3 linked regions of the Callithrix jacchus genome follow. The protein of the gene in region 2 binds, or shares a complex with, the protein of the main gene of each other region. Links are inferred from orthologs where the notes say so. Each region holds a gene or a part of one and is shown on either strand. Other genes may lie near its edges.

Region 1 (10,562 bases), on a different chromosome or scaffold from region 2:
GTTAATAAGGAGCAACTATCCATTAATCACTGCATCAATTATGCCTGTGTTATAACATCCTCTCCTCCCTAAGGCACAGGAGCAAGTGGTACATACTTTTCTGGGAACCAGTTTCATTAATACTGTTGTGTCTGTTCAAAGATGAGTAGCAATATCTGCTACCTTCTGGAGTTTTGGATAACACATCTATACTAACATATCATATATATGTATATTTGAGATGGAGTCTCAATGTGTCACCAGGCTGGAGTGCAGTGGCATGATCTTGGCTCACTGTCAACCTCTGCCTCCCAGGTCCAAGCGATTTTCCTGCCTCAGCATCCCGAGTAGCTGGGACTACAGGCATACGCCACCATGCCCAGCTAAGTTTTGTATTTTTAGTAGAGATGTGGTTTCATCATGTTGACCAGGATGGTCTTGATCTCTTGACCTGGTGATTCACTTGCCTCAGCTTCCCAAAGTGCTGGGATTACAGGTGTGAGCCACCGCACCTGGCTGATATTTATTTATTTTAATGAGTTAATTTTAAGTGAAATTGTAATTCTAACTTTGCATGTGAAATCAAGTCTATAAAAAAGTTGGTGATGATGCAGTTGAAGGTGTTAAAGTGATATTAGCCAGGGAGGGTGTAGAGACCCTCACATGCCTTTAGTATCTATTCCCACAAAAAAGAAGAAATGAAACCACAAAATTTTCCATATGATTTTACGGGGATTTGTGGAGTTCCTATCTATGACAAGGGATCCATGGATTTCAGTTTAGAAATTTCTGGGATGGCACAAGAAGACCTAGGGAAGAGTCTCACAAATATTTAATGAGTGACAGCAGGCCGGGCACAGTGGCTCACGCCTATAATCCAAGCACTTTGGGAGGCTGAGGTGGGTGGATCACGAGGTCAAGAGATCGAGACAATCCTGGTCAACAAGATGAAACTCCGTCTTTACTAATAATACAAAAATTAGCTGGGCATGGTGGTGCGCGCCTGTAGTCCCAGCTACTCAGGAGGCAGAGGCAGGAGAATTGCTTGAACCCAGGAGGTGGAGGTTGCAATGAGCTGAGATCGTGCCATTGCACTCCAGTCTGGGTAACAAGAGTGAAACTCTGTCTCAAAAAAAAAAAAGTACAAAAAATTAACTGGGCATGGTGGCGCGCGCCTGCAGTCCCAGCTACTCGGGAGGCTGAGGCAGGAGAATTGCTTGAACCCAGGAGATGGAGGTTGCGGTGAGCCGAGATCGTGCCATTGCACTCCAGCCTGGGTAACAAGAGTGAAACTCTGTCTCAAAAAAAATAAATAAATAAAAATAAAAAATGAGTGACAGCAAAGCTGAAAAACTTCTAGGCATGTATTGCATAATAACATTTGATCAATAACAGATCGAATATACAGCGGTCCCATAAGAGTATAATACCATATTTTTGCTGTATTTTGTCTATGTTTAGATACACAAGCACTTCCCATTGTGTTATAGTTTTCTACGGTATTCACTACAGTAATAAGCTGTACAGGTTTGTAGTCCAGGAGCAATAGGCTACACCACATGGCCCAGACGTGTAGTAGGTTATACTATCCAGGTTTATGTACGTACATTTTGTGATGCTCACACGAAGACAAAATCATCTAAAGACGAATTTCTCGGAATATATCCCTATGGTTAAGTGATGCATGACTGTAAAAATATGGAATAACTTGTTAAGATGAGTTTTGGCAACAAATAAGATGAGTTATATTCACCATGATTAATAACAGTGCATGCAATTTTTCTTTTTTCTTTATTGAGACAGCATCTTGCTGTGTCACTGAGGCTGCAGTGCAGTGGCGTGATCAAGACTTCCTGCAGCTTCAATTCCCCCACCCAGGCTCAAAGAATCCTCCCACTTCAGCCTCCTGAGTAGCTAGGAATGCAAGCCCAGCTAATATTCTGTATTTTTTGGTAGAGATGGGATTATACCATGCTCAAACTCCTGGGCTCAAGCGATCTACCCACCTCGGCCTCCCAAAGGGCTGGGATTACAGGTATAAGTCACTGTATCCTGCCAGTGCATGCAGTTTCTTACAAGTGTCAACTCTCTTGCCATTTGTTCATCCGTCCTATTTATTCAAATAGTAATACTAATGGTAGGCACTGCTTAATGAGTGACTATCATGTGAAAGACTCTCTGCCTGGCATTAGGGATGCAAAGATAAGTCCCTTATTACGACCTCAAGGAATTTTACAGTCTAGTTGGAGGATACTTAGAAGTAAACTTAAGAAGCAATAGTGAAATATGTATTTGAAGAGATATGTGCAATGAGTGTTAAGTGAGAGATGGGAAAGAGCACCAAAAAGCACCTAGGATTTGCACCAAGGGGGTTTAGGGAAAACTTACTGGAGGAAACAAATAGGCTTTGTTCTGAAGGATTAATTGGATTTAGCTTGGCAATGCTCCAATGTAATAAATAGCATAGCCTTCTGTTCTGGGACACATAAGTACTTCAGAATGGCCTGAATATAAAGGACAAGAAATAGAGAAAGGCAGTGGTAGAAATGAGATTGGAGAGGTAAGCAGGGTTGACAGTGAATGTAAATCATTCCAAAGACAGGCAGGTAACATTGTGTGAGGAAGCCTGGCTTAAGACAGATAGCTTTGTGACTTTTGGGCATCAATGAATTGGGGACCTCATAACCAATGAAAAGTCATTAAAATTCAATTAAAAGAAAAAAACATGGTCAGGCACAGTGGCTTATACCTGTAATTATGGAGCCAAGGCAGGGAGGATCACTTGGGTCCAGGAGTTCAAAATCAGCCTGGGCAATATAGAAAACCCTTGTCTCTATAAAAAATAACAAAATAAAAAAACTGCCTAGCAGTGTGGCATGTGCCTATAGTCCTAGCTACTTCACGTGGCTGAGGTGGGAAGATTCATTGAGCCCAGGAGTTGGAGGTTACAGTGAACTACGATTGCACCACTGCACCCCAGCCTGGGTGATAGAGCAAGACTCTGTCTCAAAACACAAAGGGCTGGGTGTGATGGCTCACATCTGTAATCCCACCACTTTGGGAGGCCGACGCAGGCAGATCACTTGAGGTCAGGAATTCAAGACCAGCCTGGTCAACGTGGCAAAACCCTATCTCTACTAAAAATATAAAAATTAGCCAGGAGTAGTGGTGTACACCTATTGTCCCAGTTACTTGGGAGGCTGAGCCAGGAGAATCCCTTGAATCTGGAAGGTGGATGTTGCAGTGAGCTAAGCTCGAACCAGAGCACTCCATCTTGGGAGATAGAGGGAGACTCTTTATCAAAAAAAAAAAAAAAAAAAAGAGGAGGAAGAAAAGAAATACCCATTATATTAGACAAACAAAAACAGCCAATTTGTGGCTAGTGGCTAAATCAAGCAGGACCTTACAAGACGTCTTAAGTGGTTTGCATTTTATATCAAGAGTTGGGGATTGCCATTACAGGAATTTAAATAGTGGAGTACATAAAAGACTAACTGATGACATTGTAAAGACTGGATTAGAAGGGGACAAGACTGTGGTCTGGGAAACTGGTTAGGTGACTAAGGCAGTATGCAAGACTTGAAATGATAGTGGCTTGAAATAAGATAATGGTAGTCGCTATAAAGAGGAATTTGATACATTAGAGATATATTATAGAGCCAGAAGCAAAGGCACTCAGTAATGGATTGGTAGCAGGGGGACAAAGAAGAGAAAAAAGATTCCCAAAGTCATTAGTTACAAAAACATCTTTAAAATGTATTGATTTCTCTAGGTGTAGTGGCTTACACCTGTAATCCCAGCATCTAGGGAGGCCAAGATGGAAGGATCAATTGAGGCCAAGAGTTCAAGACCAGCCTGGGCAACACAGCAAGCCTTGTCTTTACCAACAACAACAACAACAACAACAAAATTAAAGAAAGTATTGATTTCCATTGGTTCGCCTAATGACGTTTAGTATTAAATCCAAAATTGAGTCAGAGCAGTGAACTCGGACAGCCATCTTCATTTTCTCCTTTATTTCAGTTTGCTTTGAAATTTAGTTTTATATACTTAAGACTTAACTTCTGGCAATTTGGAATTAATTTCTGAGATTGCTGTAAATTATTTCCTTTCTTTGTTTCTCTTCCTCTTTCTTGCTTCCCTATTTTATTCTTTTTTGAGACAGAGTCTAGTCAGTCTGTCACCACCCAGGCTGGAATGCGGTGGCACGAACTTAGCTCACTGCAACCTCCATTTCCCGGGTTCAAGCGATTCTCCTGCCTCGGCCTCCCAAGTAGCTGGGATTACAGGCATGGGCCACCATTCCCAGCTAATTTTTTGTATATATATATTTTTAATTAAAAATGGAGTTTCGCCATGCTAGCCAGGCTGGTCCCAAACTCCTGACCTCGTGATCCGGCCGCCTCAGCCTCCCAAAATGCTGGGATTACAGGCGTGAGCCACCATGCCCAGCCCCTATTTTATTCTTAATATTTTGTTTTAGTTGAAAGCTAAAACATCTTGCGAGACCTCAGTTTTTTTTTTTTTTTTTGTTTTGTTTTGTTTTGTTTCTCCAAGAAAACCGTGAAGCCTTTAAGTATCAGAAATTCTCTTCGGAATCTTCAGAATTCCAGAAGTTTCCAAGTCGCTACATATAAATGTTGCAGAAAAACGTGCAACTCTCATGTGTAAGTAGGCTATCTTTTTTCCCCGGATACATTTAGCATTATAGTCCATTATCACTTCGTTGCCTTAACAGAAGCTGTTTTCATCGTAAAGATGATGTGTTTTCACCATATAATTCAAATTTGCATAGGTACTTCATATTTTAAAAAGTGATTCACAGATATGTCACGTATAAAAACAGTAACATTTAAACGACTGAGAAGGTAGGGACTCTAAAAAGTAAATGCAGCGGCGAGGGTGGGAGTGGGGAGAAGCAAAGGGGTGCGAAATTCACATCTCAAGCCCTCCCTCCTCCAAAGGCCGACTGGAACTTAGTTGTGCAGGAACGTTCCTCCCTATGCAGGGCAGCCCAGCCCAAGCCGGCCAGATCCGGAGCCGAGGTAGCCGCCACACAGCCTCGCTGCAGCCCGGGCGCGGCCACCTGGTCCCTGGGTCCCCAGCGCGGAGCCCCGGACTCCTCGCCCCCTCTCCGAACAACTTTCTCCCTGCTTGAACTGATTCTTGCTGTTGGCAGCCTGCACAGTCCCGGCATCAGCCGGAGAGGACCTGCCTCACTGGGACTGGAAACAGCTACCGCGACGAAGGAGGCCGTTTCTCTGTGCGAGGAACCAGAACTCCCGGCTTGTCCAGGGCAGCCCCTCCCTGCGCAGCAGGGCGCCCACCCCGCCCCAGAGGCTCGGCGCCGCGGGCGGGGCGACCCCGGGGGTACGGCGCCCTCGCTCCCAGAACGCGCGCCCCCTCCCGGCGCGCTCCCGGGGGCCGGCCGCACCGCGGCCCCGGCGCCCCCGCCCCCTCGGGCGCTCCGTAGCCGTGACGTGCACGCCGCGGTGCCGGGGACTCGGCTGGGCGCCGGCCGGCGGGCGGAGACCGACTCGGGATCTGTCCGAGCAGGAAGCCAGCCGCAGCCGGGCCGCTGTCGCCGCCCCGTCCTGCAGCGCGTCCGCGTCGTCGGCCTCTTCGCTCGCCCTCATCTCTCGCCCTCATCACTTCCCACCGCGCCCTTCAGCCTGAGCTGCACGAGTACCTCTGCCGCCGCGCACCTGCCTTCACGCCGGCACCGGTGAGTGTCCCGGAGCCCCCGCTGCGGGGCGTAGGCTCCGGGGTCTCGCTGTTCCCGGCCCGGCCTTGCTCTTGGGCCTCCTCGGGCAGCTCCCGGGCCGACGCGTCGGTTCACCGCCGGACGACGCGGGTGGGAGAAGCAGGTGATGGGTCGGCCCCGGGCGGCGGCGGCGCGCGGTGGGGCCGGGGGTGGTTCTTGTTTCCACAGAAAGACGTTTAGCCTCCTTTCACGGGTTATCAATCACCAAGGTCCCTTTGTGTTTCTTCCCTGGCTCCCAGGTAGAAGCAGAGCACTCAGGTGTCCAACTCGGACTTGGACACTTTGTGATAGTTTTATTTTCTCTTTTGTAAACACGCTTAAAATACAGTGCAGGGAGAGCGCAGTTTGTTCTGAGATGTGAAGATCAAATGATACCATTAATAGTCTAATCATGTAGAAGACCAGATTGAGACTTTGTAAAGCTTTATTCTTTGTCTCTCAGTACCTTGAGTATGTTAATTTACAGGTATGCTACTGAACAAGAACTTTCTTCTGTTAATTTCCAAAAACTCCCTAAAACGATTAAAATGCTCAAACTCTGGTATTTTAATTTTAAATAGGACATAATTTGATGGGGTATCCCTAGAACATCTGAGTTTAGAAGTATTTCCATACAGTTTCAAAAAATTCATTACATCTTATCTAGCATAAAGTGATACCGTGGAAAGATGCTTAACTCCTAATTTATGAGTATTAGTGAGAAAACGAGAAGAACTGCCCTAACTTAATAGACTAACTGTACGGGCTAAGTAAGTCTCATTTTTTTTTTTTTTTTTTTTTTTAATGCTCTGGTGGTATAGATGCAGTCTATCTAGTCAGAATTTGAGAGTTTTAAAATTAAGGTTCCTTTTTTGAGACGGAGTCTCACTCTGTCGGCTCACTGCAACCTCCACCTCCCAGGTTCAAGTGATTCTACTGCGTCAGCGGCTGGGCTTACAGGCGTGCACTACCGCCCAGCTAGTTTTTGTATTTTTAGTAGAGATGGGGTTTTGCCATGTTGGCCAGGCTGGTCTCGAACTCCTGACCTCAGGTGATCCACCCACCTCAATCTCCCAGTGTGCTGGGATTAGGCATGAGCTACCGCACCTGCCCTAGAAATTAACATTCTTAAGATTTAGCTGAAACTTATCTTCACAACATAAAACATGAATCTTGAACTTGGACTTGTAGTGGTCATGGTACAAAGGTTGGCGGCAAAGCAGCATTTCCTGTACAAATTAACTGAGCTTCCTAGATGTCTCAGGTTGTGGTTTTCCAACTGGAGAATGTTTAGTGAAAAAATTACCTCTGATCGGAGTCACGGCACGTAAAAAAAAAAACAAAAAACTTAACTGTGTCTTTTGCCTTTAATTGTAGAAACCGCCACAAATGTTACCAAGTGGACTATAACTAGAGCTTGAAACCATGCAGCCTTTCACAATAGCTCGCTGACTTTTATATATCCAGCTCGTTTTGAGTATTTTTACGTTAGGCAGGAATTACATCCACATCGGTAAACAAGTCATTGTAGTCGTATGTACATTTGCCCATTACTTTTGCATTTTTTGTGTGTGACATGCTGTTTATCATTCTCCATCTTTGTAAGTTACATTATTGTTTTCAGAAACTATTGTAAATGGCAGTAACAGAAGTATGAATGACATTTAAGGAAATATGTTAAAAACTGTATAATATATAAAACTATATATGATATACATATATATTCTTGGTTAGTGCCCAGAAACATGAGCAAGAAAAATGTAATGAACAATTATAATATTTAATGTAAATTAATGCAATTAAATATTGTATTAAAAACAAAAGATTGTAAATCATAACCAGTAGAGCTTATCTGAAATGGATTTTTTTCCTATTTATGTTTACGTGATCAAGTTTTAAAATAACAGTGACCAGGAAATCCGAGAGGCTGAAGGCTCTTTTCTCATCCTGTTGTGACTTTGCCTGGAGTCTGTGGTGTATCATGTAGCCCATTGTTTAGACAATTGGGCTGTATCTGGCTTCCAAAATGTAGCTTTCTTTAGAAAGTTTTTTAGAAAGTTTCAAAGATTTTGACCATGTGAGGTTTGAATAGATATATACATCCAAACATTTTTTAAAAATTAACCCATTTTAACTTTGTTGACAGTTGAGGCTCCGTTTTTGACATGTAAAATGTCAGTTTTAAGAAGAATTTAACTTCTGTACAGTTTTCATTTTTATATATTAAAATATCTAAAAATAAAATATTGAAAAGTGTTATAACTTAAATAAATCTCATAGAGTTTATTTATTCATTTTTTTTTTTTTCCCTGAGATGGAGTCTTGCCCTGTCACCCAGGCTGTGTAGTGTCATGATCTCCGGTCATTGAAACCTCCACCTCCTGGGTTCAAGGGATTCTCCTTCGTCGGCCTCCCAGGTAGCTGAGATTACTGGTGGCCGCCACCACGCCTGGCTAATTTTTATATTATTAGTAGAAATGGGGTTTCACCATGTTGGCCAGGCTGTTCTCGAACTCCTGAGCTCAAGTGATCTGTCCGCCTTGGCCTCCCAAAGTGCTGGGATTGCAATCGGAGTTTAATTATGATACCCATAATGAGATATTTCATAATGATTTATGAACTGGCCCTTTACTAGTATAAGATTATTGCACATTTGTTAGTCACCTGCCATAATTGGACAGATTACAGACTGAGGGACTTGATACAAAATTATTTTCTAGGCTGATGGCCATGGCCTTTTCCAAATCAGGAAGTCTCGGCTCAAAGAATTAAATGCTTGCTCCAGAGGGGCAAAGTCTGGATTCACACCTGAGTTATTTGACCATGGAGCCCATTTTTTTTCCAACCAGAGCAGTTTTCCTTGGTTTCATTTCACTTGGTGGACTGTTTAAACCGGCAAAACTGGTATTATGTCAAAGAATGTAATTCAAGGTTTGATGAAAGCATCCAGGAGTAGATGTGATAGGCCATGAATGTAGTTCTGGAACTAATTTAGAATTATGTGTCTTCCTTCTCAAGTTGACAGCCTTGAATAGTGATGCTGCTGCCTTCTCATTTCTCATGTAGTTCTAGAATGTTGTATGTATTGTGCACTCTTACCTTTGATAGGTTTATAAGAACTAGATTTAGATTGCAATGTTCCTGGTTAGGATAGGATTATTGCCCATAAATGCAGTAGCTGTCCTTTAAATTTTACATATTTAATTCTCTAGGGAGGGGGGACTTGTTTTCAGATGATAATTAAATTGTAACTTAGATACTATTAGGGCAAATCTTTTCTATGGCCGTGGAATATCCCTTTAGCTTCAATAGACATAAATGACAAAAGTGAGCACATAAAACCCATTTTGTTTTTTTTTTGGTAACACACTAGGAAACATGCATTTCAGCAGTAGGATATAGCTGGGTAAATGAGAAGAAAGATAGGAATGCCGAGTTGTGTGGCTGCGTTTACCAGGTTTTTCATTATTTGCTTTGAACTATTAGGAATTTTGCATCTCAAGGATATTCATATTCAACCATAAATACAAAACCACCACCTAATATAAATTAGTAATAGATGATCTGTGACACACACATCAAGAACTAGAGTTAAATAAGCTGAGTTCTCTTTTTGAGGCGGGGCATGTGTGTGTGTGTGTTTGTGTATGTATGTATGTGTGTATATATATATATATATATATATTTTTTTTTTTTTTTTTTTTTTTGAGACAGGGTCTCTTTCTGTCACCCAGGCTGGAGTGCAGTGGCATGATCTCAGCTCACTGCAGCCTCCACCTCCCAGGCTCAAGTGATCCTCCCATCTCAGCCTCCTGAGTAGCTGGGACTACAGGTGTATGCCACCATGCCTGGCTAACTTTTATGTGTTTGTGGTAAAAGATGGGTTTTACAATGTTGCCCAGGCTGTTCTTGAACTCCTGAGCTCAGATGATCTCTGCTGCCTTTGGCTTCCAAGGTGCTGGGATTACAGGCAAGAGCCACTGTGTCAGGCCGGCATAATGTCCAGAAGAACAAAGATCTTTTGTATTTAAAATGGTTCTGATGTTGTTTGACAAATTTGAGTGGACTGAAATTTTTGTGATATCTTTCTAGTTACTGTTTTCAAAAAGTAGCTTATTTTTCTGATTGATTAGTGTAAGAATGGCATACTGGTTTGAGAAATGACCATAAGTCCACCAAAAGGTTTCCCTGTGAGTACTGAAGCATAGAAAGTAAAACCTAAAGAAGAAATCTGGCATCTTCAGATATCTTGCTGGTGCTAAAGAGAGAGGAAATAATTTTTTTAATAGAAGGTATGTCTCAAGTGAAACCAAAACACCAAAGCACATTCCTTCAGTGTATATTCACATAGGATAAATATCATGCTGAGTAATGTGCACAAAGGAAACTCCTGACAAAAACACAGGCATCTTTTGAGTATGTTAGGTCATTTGTTATTTTATTTGAAAATAACCTGGCCAGGTACGCTGGCTCACACCTGTAATCCCAGCACTTTGGAAGGCCAAGATGGGTGGATCACCTGAGGTCAGGAGTTTGAGACCAGCTTGGGCAACATGGTGGAACCCCATCTCTACTAAAAGTACAAAACTTAGCTGGGCCTGGGGGTGGGTGCCTGTAATCCCAGCTACTCAGGAGGCTAAGGCAGGAGAGGAGCTTGAACCTGGGAGGTGAAGGTTTAGTGAGCTGAGATTGTGCCACTGCATTCCAGCCTGGGCGGTTGAGTGAGACTCCGTTCCCCGCCCCCCAAAAAAGTAACCCACTGACTAACCTTTACAAGGTAATATATTTTGTGTGGCAGAATTTTTTGGTTTGTAATTATGTGTGGATGATCATCTTTTTC
Region 2 (10,470 bases):
GCTATCGTGCTGGGCCCCTGTTTCTTTATTTCTCTCTTTCTGCATTCTCCCCTCCCTTCAAACACTTTTTTTAGTACTTACTAGATTCTGTGCACCATTTTAGATATTGCCTTCAATAAAAAAAAAAAAGATCCCTGACTAGGGTCACCACGTGCAGTTACACGAGTTGTACACTGTGCAAAAGTATTAGACCAAGGCAGCAAGTGGGACTGAACTCAGCCTGTGCTCTGCCTGCAAAGCTATGCTTCTTGGTGTGGTGTCTACCAGGAGGAAGAGATGACTTTTTTTTTTTTTTGAGACGGTGTCTTGCTCTGTCATCCAGACTGGAGTGCAGTAGCACCATCTTGGCTCACTGCAACCTTGCCTCCCAGGTTCCAGAGATTCTCCTCTCTCAGCCTCCCAGGTAGCTTGGGACTACAGGTGCATATCACCATGCCCAGCTAACTTTTTGTGTTTTTAGTAGAGACAGGGTTTCACTATATTGGCCAGGCTGGTCTCAAACTCCTGACCTTGAGATCCACCTGCCTTGGCCTCTCCAAGTGCTGGGATTACAGGTGTGAGCCACCACGCCTGGCTGAAGAGATGTCTTTCTAATTCACTCACAGATGCTATATACATAGGCTAGCTGGGGCTCTGTCCACAATCTCTGGAAGAGGAAATGCACAGTGAGCAGGGAAAGGTGTAAATGTTTAATACTATTTTTTTTCTTTCTTTTGTTTTCTTCTTTTTCTTTGACAGTCTTGCTTTATTGCCCAGGCTGGAGTGCAGTGGTGCAGTTAGGCCTTAGGTGGTGAGCTCAGGTGATCCTCCCACCTCAGCCTCCTGAGTAGCTGGGACCAAAGGGGCTTGCCACCATGCCCTGCTCATTTTTTTATTTTTTAGAGACAGGGTCTTGCTGTGGTGTCCAGGCTGGTCTCAAACTCCTGAGCTCAAGCAATTCTCCAGCCTCAGCCTCCCAAAGTTCTGGGATTACAGGCATGAGCTACTGTGCCCAGCCTCATATAATTTTTAATGTTGATATGGAGACAAAGCAAGACAAGTTCTATAGACAAGATCAGGAAGTGCCTCTCTGAACAAGTGATGCTGAACTTGAGACCTGAATGACAGGAGGAAGCACCATGCAATGATTTGGGGCAAGAACATTCCAAGTAGAGAGAACAGCCAGTAGAAAGGCCCTGACCTGAGCTGCAGCTGGGTGTGGCGGCTCACACCTGTAATGCCAGCACTTTGGGAGGCCGAGGTAGGTGGATCACCTGAGGTCAGGAGTTTGAGACTAGCTTGACCAACATGGCGAAACCCTGTCTCTACTAAAAATACAAAAATTAGCCAGGCGTGGTGGTGGGCACCTGTAATCCCAACTACTCGGGAGATGGGGTTTCACCATATTGGTCAGGCTAGTCTCGAACTCCTGACCTCGTGATCCGCCTGCCTCAGCCTCCCAAAGTGCTGGGCTCACAGGTGTGAACCTCCCTGCCCGGCCCGCACCCAATCTTATGTACCCATTTGTTCACGAATGCATTCCTACCTGGTCCATCTCCATGATCACTCACCTAAACTACTGCTCTTGCCTCCTGGTGGGTTTCCCAGCTTCCACCCTCACCCCCCACGACTTCGTGTCCAGACAGCAGCCAGAATGGTCCTGTAAAACAGAAGTCACGTCACATTTGTCTCTGTTATGACCCCTCCTCGGGCTCTGGCCTCACTGGAAGGAAAATGGTGTCAGCCAGCCACCACAACCAGCCTCGGTTTGTTTTCCTAGTCAGGGGTGTCATCTGTTGTGCAGGCTGCAGTGTGGTGGTGTAATCATAGTTCACTGCAGCCTCCACCTCCTGGGCTCAAGTGATCCTCGTGCCTCAGCCTCCTCCATAGCTGGCACTACAGGAGCACACCACCTTACATGGCCAATTTTTATTTTTATTTTTGAGACAGAGTCTCGCTCTGTCACCCAGGCTGGAGTGCAGTGGTGTGATCTCAGCTCACTGCAACCTCTGCCTCCTGGGTTCAAGCAATTCTCCTACCTCAGCCTCCCTAGTAGCTGGGATTATAGGCACATGCCACCACGCCTAGCTAATTTTTGTATTTTTAGTAGAGATGGGGTTTCACCATGTTAGTCAAGCTGATCTCGAACTCCTGACTTCAGGTGATCCACCTGCCTCGGCCTCCCAAAGTGCTGGTATCACAGTCATGAGCCATGGCACCTTGCCTTAATTTTTTTTTTTTTTTTTTGGAGAGATGGGGTCTTGCTGTGTTACCCAGGCTGGTCTCAAACTCCTGGGCTCAAGTGGTCCTCCTGCCTTGGCCTTCCAAAGTGCTGGGATTATAAGCATGAGCCACTACATCCGGCCAATAATATTTGTTGAATGAATGAATGGATGACTGAATGATCCCAATATCCACACACCCAGCAGTCTGGGTGCCTGGCCCCAGGAAGACAAAGGCTCTCATCTCTGCAGCAAAAGCACAAGTCCCATTCTGTGGCCCCCACATCTCTTGCTTCCCAGGTTGGTGCTAGGCACATAGTAGGTGCTTCAGCTAGCCAGGAAGGCAGGAATAGCATCTCCCTCACCTTTCATTGTCTGTGTGGTTTCTTTTTCTCTTTTTTTTTTTGAGACGGAGTCTTGCTCTTGTTGCCCAGGCCAGAGTGCAGTGGTGCGATCTCGGCTCACTACAACCTCTGCCTCCCAGGTTCAAGTGATTCTCCTGCCTCAGCCTCGCGAGTAACTGGGATTACAGGTATGTGCCACCATGCTCAGCTAATTTCTTGTATTTTTAGTAGTGACGAGGTTTCTCCATGTTGGTCAGGTTGGTCTCTACTAAAAAAACAAACGAAAATAGCCAGGGATGGTGCTGCATGCCTGAAATCCAAGCTACTGGGGAGGCTGAGGCAGGAGAGAATTGCTTGAACCTGGGAGGTGGAGGTTGCAGTGAGCCAAGATCATGCCACTGTGCTCCAGCCTAGGTGACAGAGCAAGACCCTGTCTCAAAAAAAGAAAAAGAAAAAAGCCTTTGTCATCCGTCATTACCCCCCCAACTCCACCAGCTCTGTGCACTGGGAGGCAGGAAGCTAAAAACCTGTCTGGAACCTGGCCTCATCTCTTACTAGCTGTGTGGCTTTGGGTAAGGGTCTTAACCTCTCTGAGCTCCAAGGAAATCACACATGTGCTTGCAATAGTCCTGGTACACAATAAGCTTTTTGTAAATATTGGTGACAATTATTACTACTGCCATCTGTACCAAGATCCAAACTTCCAAGATCCCTACATCCTGACCAAGATTCCCAACCTCCCTACTCTCTCTCTGTCCACACCCACTGCCCTGGTTCATGCTGGCTTCTGTGTCCCCACCCGTGAGTGAGGATTAACAGCAGGGAGGAAAGTGAGTGATTAATGAATCTGCCTGCCACAGCCATAAGAGGCTTCATGGCCTGGGTTCAAATCCCACCCTTGCCACTTACCAGCTGTGTGGCTGTGGGCAGGTCACTTCACTTCACAGGGCCTCAGTTTCTTCATCTGAAAAATGGGTAGAATTCCTGTCACTCTCAAGGTGGTTATGGAAATCCAAAGAGATTGCCCACGTATCCCATCTATACTCTGCCTCAGACTCCATGTAAGGAAGCTGTTGTCATTATTACTGGTATCGCCTTCTCTGCCCTGCCCTGCCCAGGAATATCCCCGCCCTCTCTGCCTGCCAAGACCTACTCCAGGCTCACTCCTCCAGGCAGCCTCCCAGGCTTGCCCCAGCATGTTGGAACCTCCCCTGTGGTACAGACAGCTCAGGCCCAGGAACTTAATTGCATGCTGCCCTGGCAGAACTCTTGTCTTCCAGCCTCAGGCTGTCATTTAACTTCATGTCTCTATTTTAAAACATAAATGAGATGGCATCATTGCCCTGACTGAAACTTTACAACGGTTTCCCACCTTCTGGAAGAAAAATTGCAAACTCCTTACTGTGACCCACAAACCCCTGCAGAATCCCTGCTCTGGGTTCATCTGCTCCAACTAGATTCCAAGCTTGGTCCAGCCTAAAGAAAGACCTTGGCCTTGCCCGACCTGTTTTTTTTTGTTTGTTTGTTTTGTTTTTTTTTTTGAGATGGAGTCTTGCTCTGTTGCTCACGTTGGAGTGCAGTGCCACGATCTCCTCTCACCGACACCTCCACTTTCCAGGTTCAAGTGATTCTCCTGCCTCAGTGTCCCAAATAGGTGGGATTACAGGCATGCACCACCACGCCTGGCTAATTTTTAGTAGAGGCAGGGCTTCCCCATATTGGCCAGGCTTGTCTCAAACTCCTGACCTCAAGTGATCCACCTGCCTCGGCCTCCTAAAGTGCTGGGATTACAGGTGTGAGCCACCTTGCCCAACCCCCTTATCTGATCTTCCTGGCACTGGCACCCCCTGCCCACAACCCTCTATAGTACTACCCACACATTTATTCATAGCACTTAGTGTCATCTGAAATTATCTTCTTTATTTACTTGATAACTTGCTGTTGGCTGCTTCCTTTCAGAGTGCCAACTCCTCAAGAGCAGGAATTTTTGTTCATTTATGTTATTTTCTGTGCCAAGAACAGTGCCTAGCACGTGCCCATAGTAGGTGCTCACTTGAAATATTTGTAGAATGAATGAATGTGTCTCAGGTCCTCATTCTGACTGCTCTCTGCAAACCTCCATCCTCAAAACAGCCCCCCAAACATGCCTACTGTGGGGTTACTAACTCCCCACTTTCCCTGGCTCCCCTCACACCTGAACGCAGAGATGAAGAAGAGAAACTTCGACCTGGATATTAACTGTTTGGGCTGGAATTTCGGCATCCCGGCCCCCTCATCCTGGGAAGGGCCTGAAACTTCGCAACCCCACAGCCATCCAGAAACACAGTGTGGTCGGCAGGAGGAGGGAAAGGGGTTCCTGGGAGCACACAGAAGCTAGGGGAAGGGGGAAATCACGCCCAGGCTCCCCCTTCCCACACCGTGTTGCCTTGGAGAGGAGGGAGAGAGGCCTCTGATTCACTCTTGAAAAACCGGCTCCTGGGTGTTTCCCTGGAGAACGCCTACTGCTCAGCCTTGGCCCAGGTTGCCAGGGGGGACCCAGCAGGCCCAGGACCCCAGCATCCTGGGCCCCTGCAGATGTCACTCTTCTCTGGACCCAGGTAGTCAAACCTGCCCTCTCCAGCTCAGGGTAGAAGGGACATGAGGGCAGCTTCCTGTTTGAGTGGCTGGTATCTGGTGATCTTTGGGGGTTGTGGGGGTGGGGGGGAAGGAAACAAAAGACCAACAAGTGTGGCCCTGATGATGAGTATGAGGTAGGGGTGGGAGGGGTAGGGGCTGGAGCTGCTCAGCAACAACTGAACTATGGAGCCAGTGGGTATCAAGTCTAGTGGCTGAGACTCCAGTTCTGGACCCTGGGGGCATGAGTTCCAGCCCCAGATGTGCCAGTTACTAGCTGTGTGACCTTGAGCAAGTCACTCCACCTCTCTGAGCCTGCTGCCTCACCTTTTTTACAAGAAGGCACAACACCTCCCATGAAGTGTTTTGATTCAATGATCCGCATGGTAAATGCCTGACACGGAAGCGCTCCATAAATGCTAGCTGGGGTGGAGTTTTTCATGATGATAATTATCCAGGCCCTGGTCCTCACTGCGTGCCCCAGGCCCTGGAGGGTTCAGACGCGGTTCGCTCAGGGAAAATGGACAGGAAAGGGTCAGAAACATCGACCCCACGCCTGTCCCCCCCGGGATGGGGGCCGTCTAGAAGGGGGAGGGGGGAGGGGCAAGCCCGGAGACCCCTACCTGGTGCTGGGAGGCGTTTGCCCTCTGCCCTCCAGCAGGAAGGGAGCTGCCCCCACCACCCCCACCCTCGCTCCCCCCAGGAAGGGGCCTCCGGCATCCCCGCGCTCAGCCTAGACCTCCAGTCGCGTCCCCGGGGCCCGCCCCACCTTGCACGATCCGCCGGATCCTCGCGGGCCCGCGACATCCGGGGCCCCCAGAGTGGACACATCCCTCCCGCCGGGGCCACTCACCTGCGCCGCCGCCACCGCCTCCCCGCGCGCACCCGGCTCGGCCCTCCGCAAACTCCTGCCTGGGCCTCTCCCGCAGTGGCGCCTAGGGGGGCGGGGCCGACGCCCGCGGAAGACCAATTAGCGGCTGTCTTCCGGAGCTCGCGGCCAATCCGCGCCTCCCGCTTCGGGTGGACCCGACGGAAACATTCCAGAGGGATCCCTCCGCCTCACCCGGCTCTTCCCGGCTCCCCCTGCGCCGCAAAGCAGTGGACCTTTCCGCCCCGCCTGAGCCGCGGCGGGCTGTACCACCAGAGGGCTGAGGAGGGGGGGCGGAGCTGCGGCTGGGTCCCGGCCAATCGCGGGGAAGGAAGGAGGCGAGCGGCCAATGGGAAGGAAGCTGGGGCCCCTGAACCACGTGCTGTTGGCTGAATGTCCGTCTAGGGTGCCCTGGGTGGTGAGGGGCGGGGGAGTCAGGTGACCGAGGCCAAGTTTCGGGGACAGGATGCGAACTCCCGACGTCCGGGAAAGTGGACCGTTTAGGAGGCCTGGGTGGGGGGTCGATGGCAGCTCCTAACCCAGTTCCCCGCCCGGCCTCTGCCCCAGCCTGGCCATCCTCGGAGCTGATAAAAAGTGCATTCATACTCTAGGGGCGGGCGGGGGGCAGAGATAAATACGGAGGGTCCCGAGCGTCCCTGCTTCCTGGAGTGTACAATGGAGAAAGGCATTCATTCATTCATTCATTCACTCACTCATCAAATATTTAATGTGCCCTCTGCTCCGTGCCAGGCTCTGTCCTACAGACAAACGCGTGAGCCAGTAAGCCGAATATGCTTCCAGTAGAGATAACAGAGTGTGCAAAAGCCAGAGAGCTACAGCACGCTTTAGGATAGTGCAACATCGTGGGAGCTGGTAAATCAGTGTGGAAAGGCAAGATGGAATGAAAGACAAGAGTGAGATAGTTTTTATTTGCTTGTTGATTTGTTGGTCACTTACTACGTGCTAGATCACAGAGGGTACCCAGCCAGCCTCCGACCTTTGATGGATCTGTCTCCATCTGACTGTGAGGATGGAGGCTGACTGAGTCTCTCTCGTCAACCCCTCACTCCCATCTCAAGCTGCCACATAACAGGTTCTCAGCAAACCTGTGTGGACAAATGCACCAGGTAGTTTATAAGGAACGGGGATTTCTCAGGAGGGCACAGATCCAAGAAACATGAGTCACAAACGCACCTGGAACAGGCCAGGACGCTCAGTTCCCAGGACAGGCGAGATTTCCTTGTTCTAGTTCAAACCCAGCCACTTGGACAGCAACTGAATGCTGCGTGTTCTGGGAACTGTAGTTCTTGGAAGCCTCTAAGCGCTGAGACCCTGCTCAAGCTTCATCGGATGACTGGTTCTTTGCAGTTTCCAGGGTGTGACTGTGTGCAACTCAGCCCCACCAGGACCTGCAGAGGGGTAAAGTGAAAGGGGAGATGGAGACCCGGCATGGTGGCTCACGCCTGTAATCCCAGCAATTTGGGAGGCTGAGGCGGGCAGATCATGAGGTCAGGAGATCAAGACCATCCTAACACGGTGAAATCCTGTCTGTACTAAAAATACAAAAACTTATCCGGGCGTGGTGGCACGTGCCTGTAGTCCCAACTACTCGCCAGGCTGAGGCAGGAGAATGGCTTGAACCAGGGAGGCGGAGGTTGCAGTGAGCTGAGATCGCGCCACTGTTCTCCAGCCTGGGCGACAGAGCAAGATTCTGTCATGAAAAGAAAGAGAAAGAGAGAGAGAGAGAGAGAGAGAGAGGAGAGAGAGAGAGAGAGAGAGAGAGAGAGAGAGAGAGAGAGAGAGAGAGAGAGAAGATGAAACCTTGAGCTTCACTGCTGAGGATTGCTTAGTCAGCCCCACCCAGCTGGCAAACACTGAGAAGGCTGTGGCAGGCCAGGCAACAGGCACAGCTATTGTCCCTCTCTTCCTGTTCTGCTGACCTCTGCCATCCCACTGAGCAATAGGTGCCTGGGCTGGCCAGTGCCTTCTGTGGGACTGTGCTGCCTGCCCTGCCTGAGCCTGGCATCTGAGCTGCCCCCTGCACTCTTGGAGAGCCCAGGGGACAGCATGACTGAGGCTGCAAAGTCCTGAGCCAGGATCCACCTGGCTCCTGTTGTGTGATGAGGAAATGCCCAGAGAAGGGGTGATGGGATTATGTGATTGCTCAAGACACAAAGCGGCACTGGGCATCTCCTTTCTGATTTATTTTTATTTTTATTTTTTGAGACAGTGTCGGGCCAGGTGCAGTGGCTCAAGCCTGTAATCCCAGCACTTTGGGAGGCCAAGGCAGGTGGATCACAAGGTCAGGAGATTGAGACTATCCTGGCCAACATGGTGAAACCCTGTCTCTACTACAAATGCAAAAATTAAATGGGTGTGGTGGTGAACACCTGTAATCCCAGCTACTCAGGAGGCTGAGGTAGGAGAATCACTTGAACCCAGGAGGCGGGGGTTGCAGTGAGCTGATTTTGTGCTCCTGCACTCCAGCCTGGGCGACAGAGCAAGACTTAGTCTCAAAAAAAAAAAAAAAAAAATCCAGTTGGGCGAGGTGGCTCATGCCTGTAATCCCAGCACTTTGGGAGGCTTAGGCAGGCAGATCCTAAGATCGGGAGATTGAGACCATCCTGGCTAATGGTGAAACCCCATCTCTACTAAAAATACAAAAATTAGCTTAGTATGGTGGCGTACCCTGCTCACACCTCTCCTAGTCCAGCCAGCCCCATCACCTCCCACCCGGTGCAGCGGCTTCCACCCTGGTCCTCCCGCTCCACCCTCACTGTCAGCCCTACAGTCAGTTCTCTGCACAGCGGCCAGAGGGCGTCCGTGAGCACCCGAATCAAGTCACCTTCCTTCTCGACCAAGGACCGCACCCCCCGAGGCCATGTGTCCCCAAAAAAACCTGTCCCTGTGAGCCAAAGTGTGTTTTTTTTTTAGGAGTCACACCTGGCCACACTGATGTCCAGCATAATATTCCTGGGGAGCGTTGGGATCCCACGAAGGCAAACTACCCAGTTCCTGGCTCTGACTTCCATGTGAAAGAAAATCGGGCCTTGCCCCTCCTGACTTAAACTCTCAATTTCTCTTCCAACTCAGGAATGCAGGGCCTGGTGTGTCTCATTCCTAAACACACCCGGTCCTGCTCTCTCCTGCTCTCTCAGTTTCAGCCACATCAGGCTTGTGTGTGTGTGTGTGTGTGTGTGTGTGTGTGTGTGTGTGTGTGTGTTGGTTCCCAGATCCCCAGCCTAGGGGCCTCATCCCTGGCTCATTGTCCAGGAGCCCCTCCCTGCATCCTAACAAGCTCTGTGCCTTGGCTTGTGGGTCCGGGGCCTGCCAGCCCTCTTCCCCTCCACGCTGCAGGCCTATGGAAAGTGCCTCTGTCAGTTTAATGAGTTGAAAGATGCCCCCACCCTAAAAGGAATGCCCACATTCCAGAACCTGTGAATGTGACCTTACTTGGAGTAAGTGTCTTCAAAGATGTCATTCAGTGGAGGATCTTGAGATGAGATCATCCTGGATTAGGGTGGTTGGCCCCGAAATCCAATGACGGGTGTCCTTACAAGAGACAGAAAAGGAGACACAGACGCACACAGCGGGGAGGGCCGTGGCAGAGACTGGAGCAATGCAGATATGACCCCAAGGAAGGCTCAGGATGGCTGAAACCACCAGGAGGCAGGAGAGAGCCGCCCCCACTTGTTAATGCCGGGTGCAATGGCTCACGCCTGAAATCCTAGCACACTGGGAGGCTGAGGTGGGTGGAGTTCAAGACCAGCCTGGTCAACATGCGGAAACCCTGACTCTATGAAAATACAAAAATTAGTTGGGCATGATGGTGGGTGCCTGTAATCCCAGCTACTCAGGAGGCTGAGGTGGAAGAATCGCTTGAACCCAGGAGGCAGAGGTTGCAGTAAGCCAAGATCATGTCATGGCACTCCAGCCTGGGTGATAGTGAGACTAAATCTCAAAAAAAAAAAAGAGTGAAAGAGAAAAAAGAAAAAGACAAAAGGTCTTTCAGGAAAGAGGGGCTCTCCTGGAGCCAGAGTGAATATCTGCTTCTCCCTGGTGGGAGAGTTGAAGAAATTAGGGCACAGGGGTGGGGTCCCTGGCAGGTGTGGGTGGGGCAGAGGGAACCACCAGCTGACCCCAGGGCTGGGTTATCCTTCCTCTGCACATACCCTGACATGAATTATCATAGGAAAAAATGTTGCAGGTCCTCTTGTCTGAATCACTTTGTCACTTAATTATTCACTTAGCGAACACTCAGAGGGTCAGATTTGGGGCAAGCGTCACTCTGGCCACTGGTGATGCAGATTATTAGGATGTGAGTGGTGACCTCAAGGGAACTCACAGTTGCCACGGAGTGGGGGACATTTTCAAGTATTCTCCTGCAATTGTCACTGCTGCCCCTCTGACAAAGAGGGAAGGTGTCTTACTTAAAAATTATGGA
Region 3 (9,802 bases), on a different chromosome or scaffold from region 2:
CTCTAAAGCCAGACAGAGCCTGGTGTGCCCCCAACCCACTGCATGATCTCACAGCTCCTAGCCACCCGTCACCCCTCTGTCCACCCCTTCACTGAATGCTCGCTTGAATGGCTCTTGACTTTCAGGGGCTGCTGGCCAGAGCTTAGTCTGATTCTCAGACGACATTGTGCCTGGCCAAGCAGGTTGTCTACACCCATACTGGCTTTCCCACACCGGGTTTTGGGCCTCAGTTTTCAAAGCCAGTGCCAAGCACAGCTATGGCAGGTGCCATTGGTCTGCAGTGACACAGTTTCTGATGGAAGGTACCGGCTTCTAGGTGCCTCCCTGTCTGAATGACTCACTCATCCCACACCCGCTAGACCTGAGCTCTTTTTTGGTTCCCCTCCCAGGAAGATCTCTGAGGTCAGCCTCAGAGAGCCGAGGAGGCCACCCATGGTCAGCACCCCACTCGCCCCGTGCATGGGCCCGGCCTGGTCATTCCTGGGAGCAGCCGACCTTGCCCAGCTGCAGGTCAGAGATGGAGCAGGCATCGATGAAGGCCTGTGCGATGACTGAGAGGCAGGCGTCAATGTGGTCCGTCTTATCGATGTCAAAGACAAACTGGGGGTTCTTCAGGATGTTCACCCAGAACCGGAGAGGAAGGCTGTGGGGTGAGGTAACAAAGGCCATGAGAACCCACCCTGAGGGTAGGGTGGGGGAGGATGCAGTGGAGGGACAGCCTTGGAGGAGAGAGCTGGCATTGTCCCTCAAGGGCCCGAGGTGGAGCCTTGTCACAAGATGTGACCTTTGGGAACGTTAGTTTGCCCATCTCTGGCCAGCTGGGGTGGCAGTGGGGCCGAGAGCCGGGTTTCCTGCTGGAGCAAGGCAGGAGCTGCAGGGCTTAGCTGGTCCACCCCCGCAACCCCCTGCTGAGCCTCCAGCCAGGTCCTGGTTCTCATTAGAAGCCCCCCACCCTGCCAGCCCCCAGCTCCTCCCCCAACCCTTGCAGGCAGCAGGAAGTCCAGCATTAGCAGAGTAGCTGTGGCAGGGATGCAGGGGCCAGGGCCTGGAGTGCTGGCCTTGTCCTCAAGAGGCCAGAGAGGGTGAGCAACACCCACCTCAGGCCACCCAGTGACTCAGCAGCCTGGGCACGTGCACCCCCAGAGCTCTGGGAAGCTGCTCTCACTGCAGAGAGATGCCTGGGCTGGAGGCATTCTTCCCAAGGCTCAGACTGGGTTTCCAGCAACTTCTCGTGGGGGTGTGTGACCCCGACAAGCTAAGAGGTGCTTCCAAGCAGGGCTACCGACTGGGTAGGGGATTCAGGTCATGTGGGGCTGAGCCTGGCTCTACTGTCTCAGGGCCGGTGTGGGCTTGAGCAGGTGTGCTCATCTGTGAAGTGGAGCTAGTGGTGCCCACCTGAGAGGCGTGTGGGAGAATGATAGTAAGGACAGCCCCTAGACCGTGCCTCCTGGGCACTCTTCTAGTTAATTCCTACCATTAACGTGGGTGGCATTTTACAGCTGGATGGAGGGGAACTGAAGCACAGAGAGGCTAAGTCACTCATCTGAAAGCACACAGCTGGGAAATGGCAGAGGAGGGCTTAAACCCAAGTAGGTGAGGCCAGAGGCTAGACTCTGAACCCCCTGCCACAGGGGCCCCGACGGTACAGTGAAATCCGCATGGCCCCCACCTGTTGGTCTTCCAGATGTGTAGGGTGTCCGGGTCGGAGATTCCCCTCTTCTCAGCCTGCTCCTCCAGGAAGTCAAAGAAGTACTTTACAGCCAGCGGGGGCTTGTCTTCACGGATACTCAGAATGGCCTTGAACAGGTCATCCAGAAACTTCTGCAGCGTGCCCTGTAGGGTAGCAGGGTGGCCACCATCAGCCCCAGGCCATGTGCAGAAGGCTAGTGGGCACCCTTGGTGGCTCTGCAGAGCTTGAAATGCCCAGGCTGCTGAATGAGGAAGCCACATGGCATCAGGCTGGTCACCAAGTCTATCTGGCCTCAGTATTTTTGTCTGTGATAATGGGTTAGCCTTCGAAACTTGCTTCACAGAGGCACTGGAAGGACCAATCAAGGCACTGACACAGAGTCCAGAACTGGAGGTGCCAGGGTATGGGCTGTGGGGTGGTGGCACTGCTACTGAGCGTGGAGTGTGTCCTTGGGGACATCACTGACCCCTCTGGGCCTCTGCTGTGACGTTACGTGGACTAACGTAGAAGTGTCTGTCAGGCATTTTTCCTGGCAGCAATGGGAGGAAATGCCTCCTCAACTGAGACCCTAAGCATTCAGCCTCTTAGCTCTCCAGCCCTCCAGTTCCACAAGGGAAACAGGAAGAACTCGCAGCCCTCTCCCAGCCAGCCATGTGCACAGCTGGCCCTTGTACCCACTGCACGGAGGGGAGACTGAGGCTGGACCCACCTTGGTGGACAGCAGGCGGGTCAGGTAGATTTCTGGGAGCACCTTCTTGCGGTGGCTCTGCCGGTGAGACTTCTTGGGCTCTGTCAGTTCGTCCGTGGGCGGCACCTGGGAGGCCAGGCAGTGGTCAGCATCCGCACCAGGCCCCATCCTTGGCCGCCTGTGGGAGGTCTGGCTCTGCCATGCTTCTTAGCGCACAGGGCTGTGGTTCCCTCCTGATTCGGGGCCCCATCCCCACTCCTCCACCCCCAGCCTTTCCCGGGGCTTGGAGCACTTTTCCCAGAGGCCCAGGGCCACAGAAAGCCAAGGCCACACCCACTGAGGGGCCGGATCCCCTGGGGCTGAGCTTGGGCACTCACCAAATGGAAATATTTCTCTGTGTCCAAGTCTTTCACTGTGAGAGGAAGAACACAATAAATAAACATGAGAGAGGAGAGGAGAGAGAAACAGAAACGAAGACAGAAAGACAGGGAGAGAAACAGAGACAGAGATCCAAACAGGCAGAGAGAAGAAGACGGAGGCGCAGACACTCACAGGGAGACTGAGCCTGGGAGAGATGGAGAGAGAGAGGAGAGAGGTCCAGAGACACACAGCCAACAAGGCAGAGTAAGGCAGAGAGAGAAATACACACACACAGTGACCACAGGGATGGAGGGACTCAGAGGGAGGGACAGAGGAGGAGGGGCCCGGGGAGGCAGGGCAGCTGCCTCCGCCCACCCCTCTGGAGCCCAGAGCTCCTGCTGGGGGAGACCTGAGATTCTGCCCCCAACCTCAGTAGGGGACCCGGAGACCCAGGAGCCTGGGCTCGCAGGCCTGCCAACCAGGCGGCTGTGCCATCTGAGGGTGTGGAGGGGACTTGAGGCAGGGACATGGCCCCAGGCTGGATTGGCATGCTGGCTCCCCTCTGGCCTGGCCACTGCCCAGACCTCCTGGAACCACTTCCTGCCCTCCCCGGGACTCTCTCCAGCTGCCGCTGGAAATCGGCTTGAAGAGGCCTGGTGCGGGTCCTGCCCAAGCAGTACTGGGTCAGAGGAGCTTGGCCCCGCCCAGCCCCCACCAAGGAGGCCTCAACCCAGGACAGCCCTGCCTCTTGGAGCCTCAGTTTCCCCACTGGGGCATAGGATGGAAGCCCCCACCCACACGTAGCCTAGACTCCCTTCCCATGTGCACCCACACTACCTCGGCCCAGTGTGTTGTCCTTCTTGTCTATAAGGCTCATGGCCAGGGAGGCACCTTCAGGGATCTGACAAGAGGGGAAAGGACAAGGTCAGTGGCCAGAGGCCGGGGTGGGGGAATGGAGGCTGAGGACTGAGTGGGGGCAGCACTGCACCTTGTAATGGGCCAGCGTGTTAAGCTTCTTGCGGCCGTCTTCCACCACTGAGGTGTCATCCAGGTCCCGAAGGATGTAGCTCTGTGTACTGGAGGCGAACCACTCTGGGGGACAAGGAGTAGACCATCAGGGCCTGGGCAGGGAGCTGAGCCTGAGGGGTAGGTACCGGCCCAGCCACACAGGGAGAGGCCTCTCGCTATCCCCATGGAAACCGAGGCAAGCCATGCCTCTCTCAGCCTCCATTTTCCCATCTGTAAAATGGGGAAGGCAGGAAATGAGCTGGGGGAGAGGGTGTGAGGGTACAAAGTGAAGGTGCCAGGATGGAGGACACCAAGGAGAAGCTCTGGAAGTGGCCTTGTCTGCAGGGCTGCTCATGTTACAATTTCGATGAAACCCTTGGCCTCACAAAGACTCACAAAACCCACTCCGTGCCGGGCGTCATAGCTCACCCCTGTAATCCCAGCACTTTGAGAGGCTGAGGGAGGAGGATCACTTGAGCCCAGGAGTTCAAGACCAGCCTGGGCAGCATAGCATGACACTATCTTTACAGAAAGTAACATTAGCTGGGTGTGGTGGCACACACCTGTAGTCCAAGCTACTCAAGAGGCTGAAATGAGAGGATCACTTGAGCCCAGGAGCTGAGACTGAGTGGTTGCACTCCACCCTGGGTGACAGAGTGAGACCCTGTCTCAAAGACAAACCAACCCACTTTAGGGGTTGCACCCCTCCTTTAGGAATGAGGAAGCCGTTCCTGAAGGCTTTTTGCTGCTGCCCTTTACTCGCCCACACTGCAGGACTTGTCTCCCACAGAGCAAGAGCTTCTGGCCGAGGGGCTCATCAGATCCTCTCCATGTCCCCACGTTCATGCACCATGCCAGGTAGAAGGAGTTTTTCCGTCAAGGCAGGGGCCAGCCCCAGCTGAAGCAGCCTGATGGGGCTCCACCCCATCCCCACCCACCGAGGTCGACATCCTCCACGCGTGGCCATTGGGAGTAGGGCACGTTCTTGCAGAAGGCCTCCAGGATCTTCTCCTTGACCTGCGTCAGCGTGTCAGTGTCCATGGCCCGCACGCTCAGCGAGTCCATTCCGCAGCCCTGGAAGGACACGTTCAGGTTCTGCAGGGGAAGGCGGGAGAGAAAGGTCAGTGAGTTGCCACCATCACCATGTCGGTGCCCAGGCAGCAAGGCCCTGCCCAGGAAGGCTGGGTCAATGCCGTAAGGTCAACGCCCCAGCCCTGGGACCCTCCCAGCCCTGCCGGCTCACCCGGGGCTTGGCCTCTATGTTCTCCCGCAGCAGCCACTCCTCGTTGAGCGTGTATCGGGCCTTACCCGTGATGGCATCGATGGAGCCCTTGTTGATTTGCTGCTTGATGGCGCACAGCAGCAGGAAGAACGGCTCCCCCACAGTCTCCTGGGGGGCATGGGGCTGTTAGGGCTAAGGCCCCCTCCATATTCCAAGCCCAAGTCTTGGGCCAAACACCTTCACACCCCCATCCCCCAAACCCTCCAACAGTCTGTTTTTGGATCCTGGTGTCAACATCCCTCTCCCGAGGGTGTCCCCACGGACCCTAAGCTCGTGTTCACTAAACACCACCGGCTGCGGGTGGCTGCGTTCACTGTATCATCCTTGTGTAGCCAAAGTGCCGAGGCCCAGAGAGTGCAAGTGACCTGCCCAGGGTCACCCAGCTGGGAAGTGGCAGGCCAGGACCCTGACCTGGCTCAGCTGACTCCCAAGCCTGTGACTTTCTATTAAGTGGGCAGCTGCAGGGGTGAGTTAAGGTGAACCTGGAACACCGATGTGGCCTCGACCCTACTCGCAGGCTGAGGACTGTGGAGTCCCAGGTGGAATGGGGCTCAATGCCCCTGCTCTTGCCCTTCTTGAAGGGAGGCCCTCCAGGCAGTGGCTCTGCTGGACCCACAGCCATGAGCCGATTCTCATGGCCACTGCCCAGCAAGTGACCCAGGTGTTCCACTGGGATAGTTTTACTTAATTACCCACCAAAATTGATTTTAAGAAAAGTTAAGTACACGATAGTGTTAGGCAGATTTGGCAAAGATTACAACGGCAGCATGCCAGCCTGCGTCCTGGTCTAGTTCTCCAGGTCTGGGGTGTGGGAGGCACCGATTCCCCGCTTTCTAGAGGAGGAAACCGGCTCACAGGGGAAGGCCTGGCTGAGGCTATGGGAACAAGCCAGGGGAGGGAGGTCTAGGGTCCACAGTGGCCCTGTGATTCCTGATGGCCCACAGCGAGGCAGCCCGCAGAAGGTGGAGGCACCCCAATGGCCCTGCCTCTGTTCCACCCTACTACCCCCTCTTCCCAGGAGGAGCTGTGGGGCTCCTCTAGGCCCATTTGACAGAAGGAAACCAAGGCCCAGAGAGGGCAATGAGTAGCCCAGAGTCACACAGCTGGGCTGTGCCAAAGGTTGGACTCAAGCCCAGGACATGCTTGCTGGGTACAGTGGCTCACCCCTGTAATCCCAGCACTTTGGGAGGCCAAGACAGGAGGACTCCTTGAGCCTGGTAGTTGGGACCGGCCTGTGCAACAAAGCAAGACCCCCATCTCTTCAATAATTAAAACAAAAAACAGAACATCTGAGGCCCTGGTTCTGGGCTCCAGCCAGGCCTTTGCCTTTCTCCCACAATCCTCCAGGCAGCCCTCTAGCCTCTGCCACCGTAGGGCAGCTGGATGGTGGGACGGGACCAGAGGTTGAGCAACCCCTGCTCTGCAGAGGAGAGCTTAGGGGGTCCTTTTGTCGGAATGCAGGAGACCCTGGCTACCTGGCCCACCCCCTTCCCAGCCTCTGCTCTCATCTGGAGGATTCTCCAGCCTTCTTTCCATTTCTTCCATGAACATCTCCTCCTCCCAGCTTCTGCCCTTGTGCAGTACCCAATACCTGGAGGACCCTCCCCACCACTCCTCGCCTGGCTTGCTCCCTTAGGGCTCAGCACTGGGGTGCCTGCTCCAGGAAGCCACCTTGAAGCCTCCAGACAGGGAGAGGCATTGCGAGGTACTCGCCCCTAGGGCTGGAAGAGCCTCAGGGGCCAGCCAGGGGCTGATTTAATCTCCTTAATCCAGAGCAGGAAGGGCTGGATGACTGCAAAAACCACAAATGGGACAAGGCCCCTGACCCAACCTCTGTTATGCGCCCAAGCATGCGTTGAGTGGCAGGTCCAGCCAGGCCTCCCCTGGGCTGCGGCTCCCCCTTCGGCTTAACAGGTCCTATGGGCCTGTCTCCTGCAACACTCCTTCCTGGCAGAGCTGGCCTGAGGGTGCCAGGGAAGGCCTGGAAGGCCTCGGGGTCACTGCTGCTGCATCCCTGGCACGTCCCCCACCTGGGCTCTGCCTGTCCCCGGGCGGCCTCACCCGCAGACAGCTGTACATGCAGATGGACATCCAGTTGGTGAGCATCTTCTCCACCACAGACTCTGTGCGCCGCAGCATGAGCTTGGGGTTCTTGGCGGCCGAGGCATCGATGAGGTCCACCAGTAGCTCCTTCATGATGCTGGTGTAGTACTCCAGCTTGCCATGCAGCGCGATGGTCAGCAGCGAGGCCAGGCTGCACCTGTGAGCGGGAGGCCAGTGTCAGCTGCGCCTTGAGGCCCTTGGAGTTGGGGGTCCCGAGGCTTCAGTGCTGCTTCGTCCCTGGGCTCAGCGGTCCCAGGAATGCCTGTGTGACTGGGTCCTGCAGATGGGTGAGTGGGGCTGGAATCTGCCTGGAGAAAGAGCCACCTTCTCCTATGTCCACGGCAACCACCGTGCCCCATGAGCCCAGGTCTTAGGTATCCAGGCCCAGGAAGGGCTGGAATATGGGGGCGTCAGGAGTCCCAGGATCCAGGACCTGATGCTGTGTGGCTTTGGACAGGCCCCTCTCCCCTGCCCCTCGCTAGTCTGTCACAGCCTGACCTGTCGCGCACCGCAAAGTCCTTCTGTTGTTCCAGCGCATGGACAAAGACGATGAGGAAGTGCTTGTTGTTGAGTAGTGAGGAGAATAAGCTGATTCCTTCTTCCATGTTGGGCCGGCAGCTCTCAGGAATCTGTGGAAGCAATTGGTGACGGGGTGTCCAGGGGGGCCCAGTGTCCCTGCCTAGCCTAAAAGCCAGTGCTTATGACGGCTGCTTGTATGCCTCCTGGGATGGGGAGCTCACTACCTTTCATGGTGGATGCCTCCTAACTCCTTGTGACTTGTGACTGAGAACAATGGCTCAGTTGAATTGAAAAGTGGGGCTCACAGAAGGGTAAGGGTGCCTGGAGGTAACCCAGCATCCCAGTATGGAGGACTCTCACCTTCCATTCTCTAAGCAGCAGGTGGAGTGGGGTATATGGGGTGGGGCAATCCTCTGTCCTCTCTACCTGGCCTGGTGGGGTGGGGGGAGGGTCAGCACGTATAACATCCTGAACGGCTGCCTGAATGCCTCCTGGGATGGAGGGCTCAGTACCTTACAACGGCAGATGCCTCCCACCTCCATGCCACAGGGATCAATGAAGGGATTAGATCAACCGGAAAGGGGACCCAGGAGAAGCAGGGCTGCCCTGAAGCAGCCCACACTGTGTGGGCTGGGGGGCGGGTACTCACCTTCCACTCTCCCAGCAGTGGGTGGGTCTCCTGCACCTGGGAGATGCCCTGGGAGTTGAGGGTCTGGGAGGGCAGCACATAACGCTCTTCATAAAGGGAGGAACACTGCAGAGGCAGACCCCCAGCATCTCAGCGGGGCTGGAGACCCCCTGATGGCATGCAATGCTCACTCACACAGAAAGGGGCACCGGCCTGGGCTGCTGGGGGAAACTGGCATAGCATTAGCCCCCCATAAAGAAATAAGAGGCAATGGGCCAAGCCTGGGGGTCGTGAAATTCCAGGGGTGTGGCCCCACAAGAGAACACAAGGCTTAAGGGGAAGCAAAAGCAGCTCTGTGTGCAATGGGGGAAATGGAGGCAGAGAGGCTGGGAGTCTGAGCTTTAGCCTGAGGCTGGGAAAAGCCAGCTGGAGGATTTCATGAAAGATGATGTAGTCAAACATGGGCTTGTTTTAGCCACTGTGTGGGGAACGGTGTGGACAGGGAAGGGAGGGTGGTACCACTAGGAGGTGGAAAAGGGCAGTGGACCCTGGAAGGGCAAGGGCGGGCAAGGGCAGGCATGGGCAGCATGGAAGGGATGGGGCAGGAGCCCAGTGGACAGGAGGAGGGGGTATAGAGACCAAGGGAAGCCTGGCTGGGAAGAGGCACAGGGAGGAGAGAGGCTGGCCTGGGGCAGCCCTGGCCACTCTGTCCCACCTTGACAAGGGGAGAGGGGCTGCAGCTGGCTTCCATATGGACAGTTACATATCAAGTGAGTGGAGAATGAGAGTGGAGGAGAATCTGCCCCCCACCGTCTGCCCCATGGCAGGCCAGGGGAAGTGGCCGGGACTGCTGTGGACAGCTGTGCAAGTTTGGCACTGCTCAAGGGACTCTCTAGACTGGCAGGGACCAGAGAGGTCCAGTTGCCCTGAGGTGGCCAGCACAGGTTCAGGGACAGGCTCAGGCTGAGGGTGACCTTGGGGAAGAAGGTGCGGGTCACGAAGTGCTTATACTCCAGGAAAGGGATGCCCTGGCTGCGGTTCAGCTCCTTGGTCAGGTCCGTCATGTCTGTCTGCAGCTCAGCGAAGCCTGGTGGACACACGGACAGCTGTGAGCGTCTTTTCCCCCAGGTGGGAAAGTAGAGGCCCAGCCCTGCAGGGTCCCAGCCCACTACCTTTGCGAATTTCCTCTCGGATCTGAGATTCCATCTCCTCCATCTGTAGCAGCGTCTTCTGCCAGTAGCGCTCAGCACGTCGGCTCTTGGTACAGAAGACGAACAGGGCTGTGGGCAGTGGAGAAACAGGTGAGGCCTCCAGCGCCCTTTGGAAAGCCTTTATTGGAGCCTGCTATATGCAGGGCCTGGGGCTTTGCTCACTGGCCCTGGCTCCAGCTCCTATGGGCAGGGTGTGGGAGGAGGACACCCTGCAGTCCTCCCTCCCAGGCAGTGTTGGGATAAGGGGTGGGGGGTTGGGGAGAGCTCTCCCACAGGCAGAGGGCTTGAGGAATGGCCAGCAAAGCAATGGCTG

What was found.
Region 1: the proteins of GIPC1 (region 2) and MYO6 are in contact, whole or in part, in a crystal structure (PDB 5V6E), measured with the Mus musculus proteins. The link is inferred for Callithrix jacchus from reciprocal best matches to the Homo sapiens genes GIPC1 and MYO6. Residues at the interface, in NP_061241.1 of Mus musculus: Glu273, Ser274, Tyr275, Met276, Gly277, Ile278, Arg279, Asp280, Glu282, Leu283, Thr286, Asp310, Phe311, Ala312, Pro314, Glu316; in NP_001034635.2 of Mus musculus: Ser1055, Lys1056, Trp1057, Lys1058, Tyr1059, Ala1060, Arg1084, Arg1085, Leu1086, Val1088, Tyr1089, Trp1092, Lys1093, Asn1096.
Region 3: the proteins of GIPC1 (region 2) and plexin-D1 are in contact, whole or in part, in a crystal structure (PDB 5V6T), measured with the Mus musculus proteins. The link is inferred for Callithrix jacchus from reciprocal best matches to the Homo sapiens genes GIPC1 and PLXND1. Residues at the interface, in NP_061241.1 of Mus musculus: His61, Glu141, Ala142, Leu143, Gly144, Leu145, Thr146, Ile147, Thr148, Asp149, Asn150, Gly151, Phe156, Lys158, Arg159, Arg190, His191, Tyr192, Glu193, Ala195, Arg196, Leu198, Lys199; in NP_080652.2 of Mus musculus: Glu1400, Met1889, Glu1893, Arg1899, Gln1902, Gln1904, His1905, Glu1908, Ile1918, Tyr1919, Cys1921, Tyr1922, Ser1923, Glu1924, Ala1925.

Annotation. Positions count from the first base shown.
Region 1 is NC_133505.1:80,982,305-80,992,866, forward strand, and holds the start of MYO6 (unconventional myosin-VI), read left to right. Parts: upstream 1-5,506; 5' UTR 5,507-5,704; intron 5,705-10,562. UniProt on the Homo sapiens protein: Myosins are actin-based motor molecules with ATPase activity. Unconventional myosins serve in intracellular movements. Myosin 6 is a reverse-direction motor protein that moves towards the minus-end of actin filaments.
Region 2 is NC_133523.1:13,273,905-13,284,374, forward strand, and holds the start of GIPC1 (PDZ domain-containing protein GIPC1), read right to left. Parts: upstream 6,061-10,470; 5' UTR 5,928-6,060; intron 5,646-5,927; exon of another isoform or gene 5,486-5,645; intron 3,510-5,485; 5' UTR 3,455-3,509; intron 1,640-3,454; exon of another isoform or gene 1,551-1,639; intron 1-1,550. UniProt on the Homo sapiens protein: May be involved in G protein-linked signaling.
Region 3 is NC_133516.1:72,539,197-72,548,998, reverse strand, and holds part of plexin-D1, read right to left. Parts: intron 9,559-9,802; coding exon 9,451-9,558; intron 9,366-9,450; coding exon 9,253-9,365; intron 8,405-9,252; coding exon 8,300-8,404; intron 7,761-8,299; coding exon 7,630-7,760; intron 7,289-7,629; coding exon 7,090-7,288; intron 5,137-7,089; coding exon 4,990-5,136; intron 4,842-4,989; coding exon 4,685-4,841; intron 3,831-4,684; coding exon 3,727-3,830; intron 3,640-3,726; coding exon 3,576-3,639; intron 2,791-3,575; coding exon 2,756-2,790; intron 2,505-2,755; coding exon 2,400-2,504; intron 1,834-2,399; coding exon 1,670-1,833; intron 644-1,669; coding exon 496-643; intron 1-495. UniProt on the Homo sapiens protein: Cell surface receptor for SEMA4A and for class 3 semaphorins, such as SEMA3A, SEMA3C and SEMA3E. Plays an important role in cell-cell signaling, and in regulating the migration of a wide spectrum of cell types.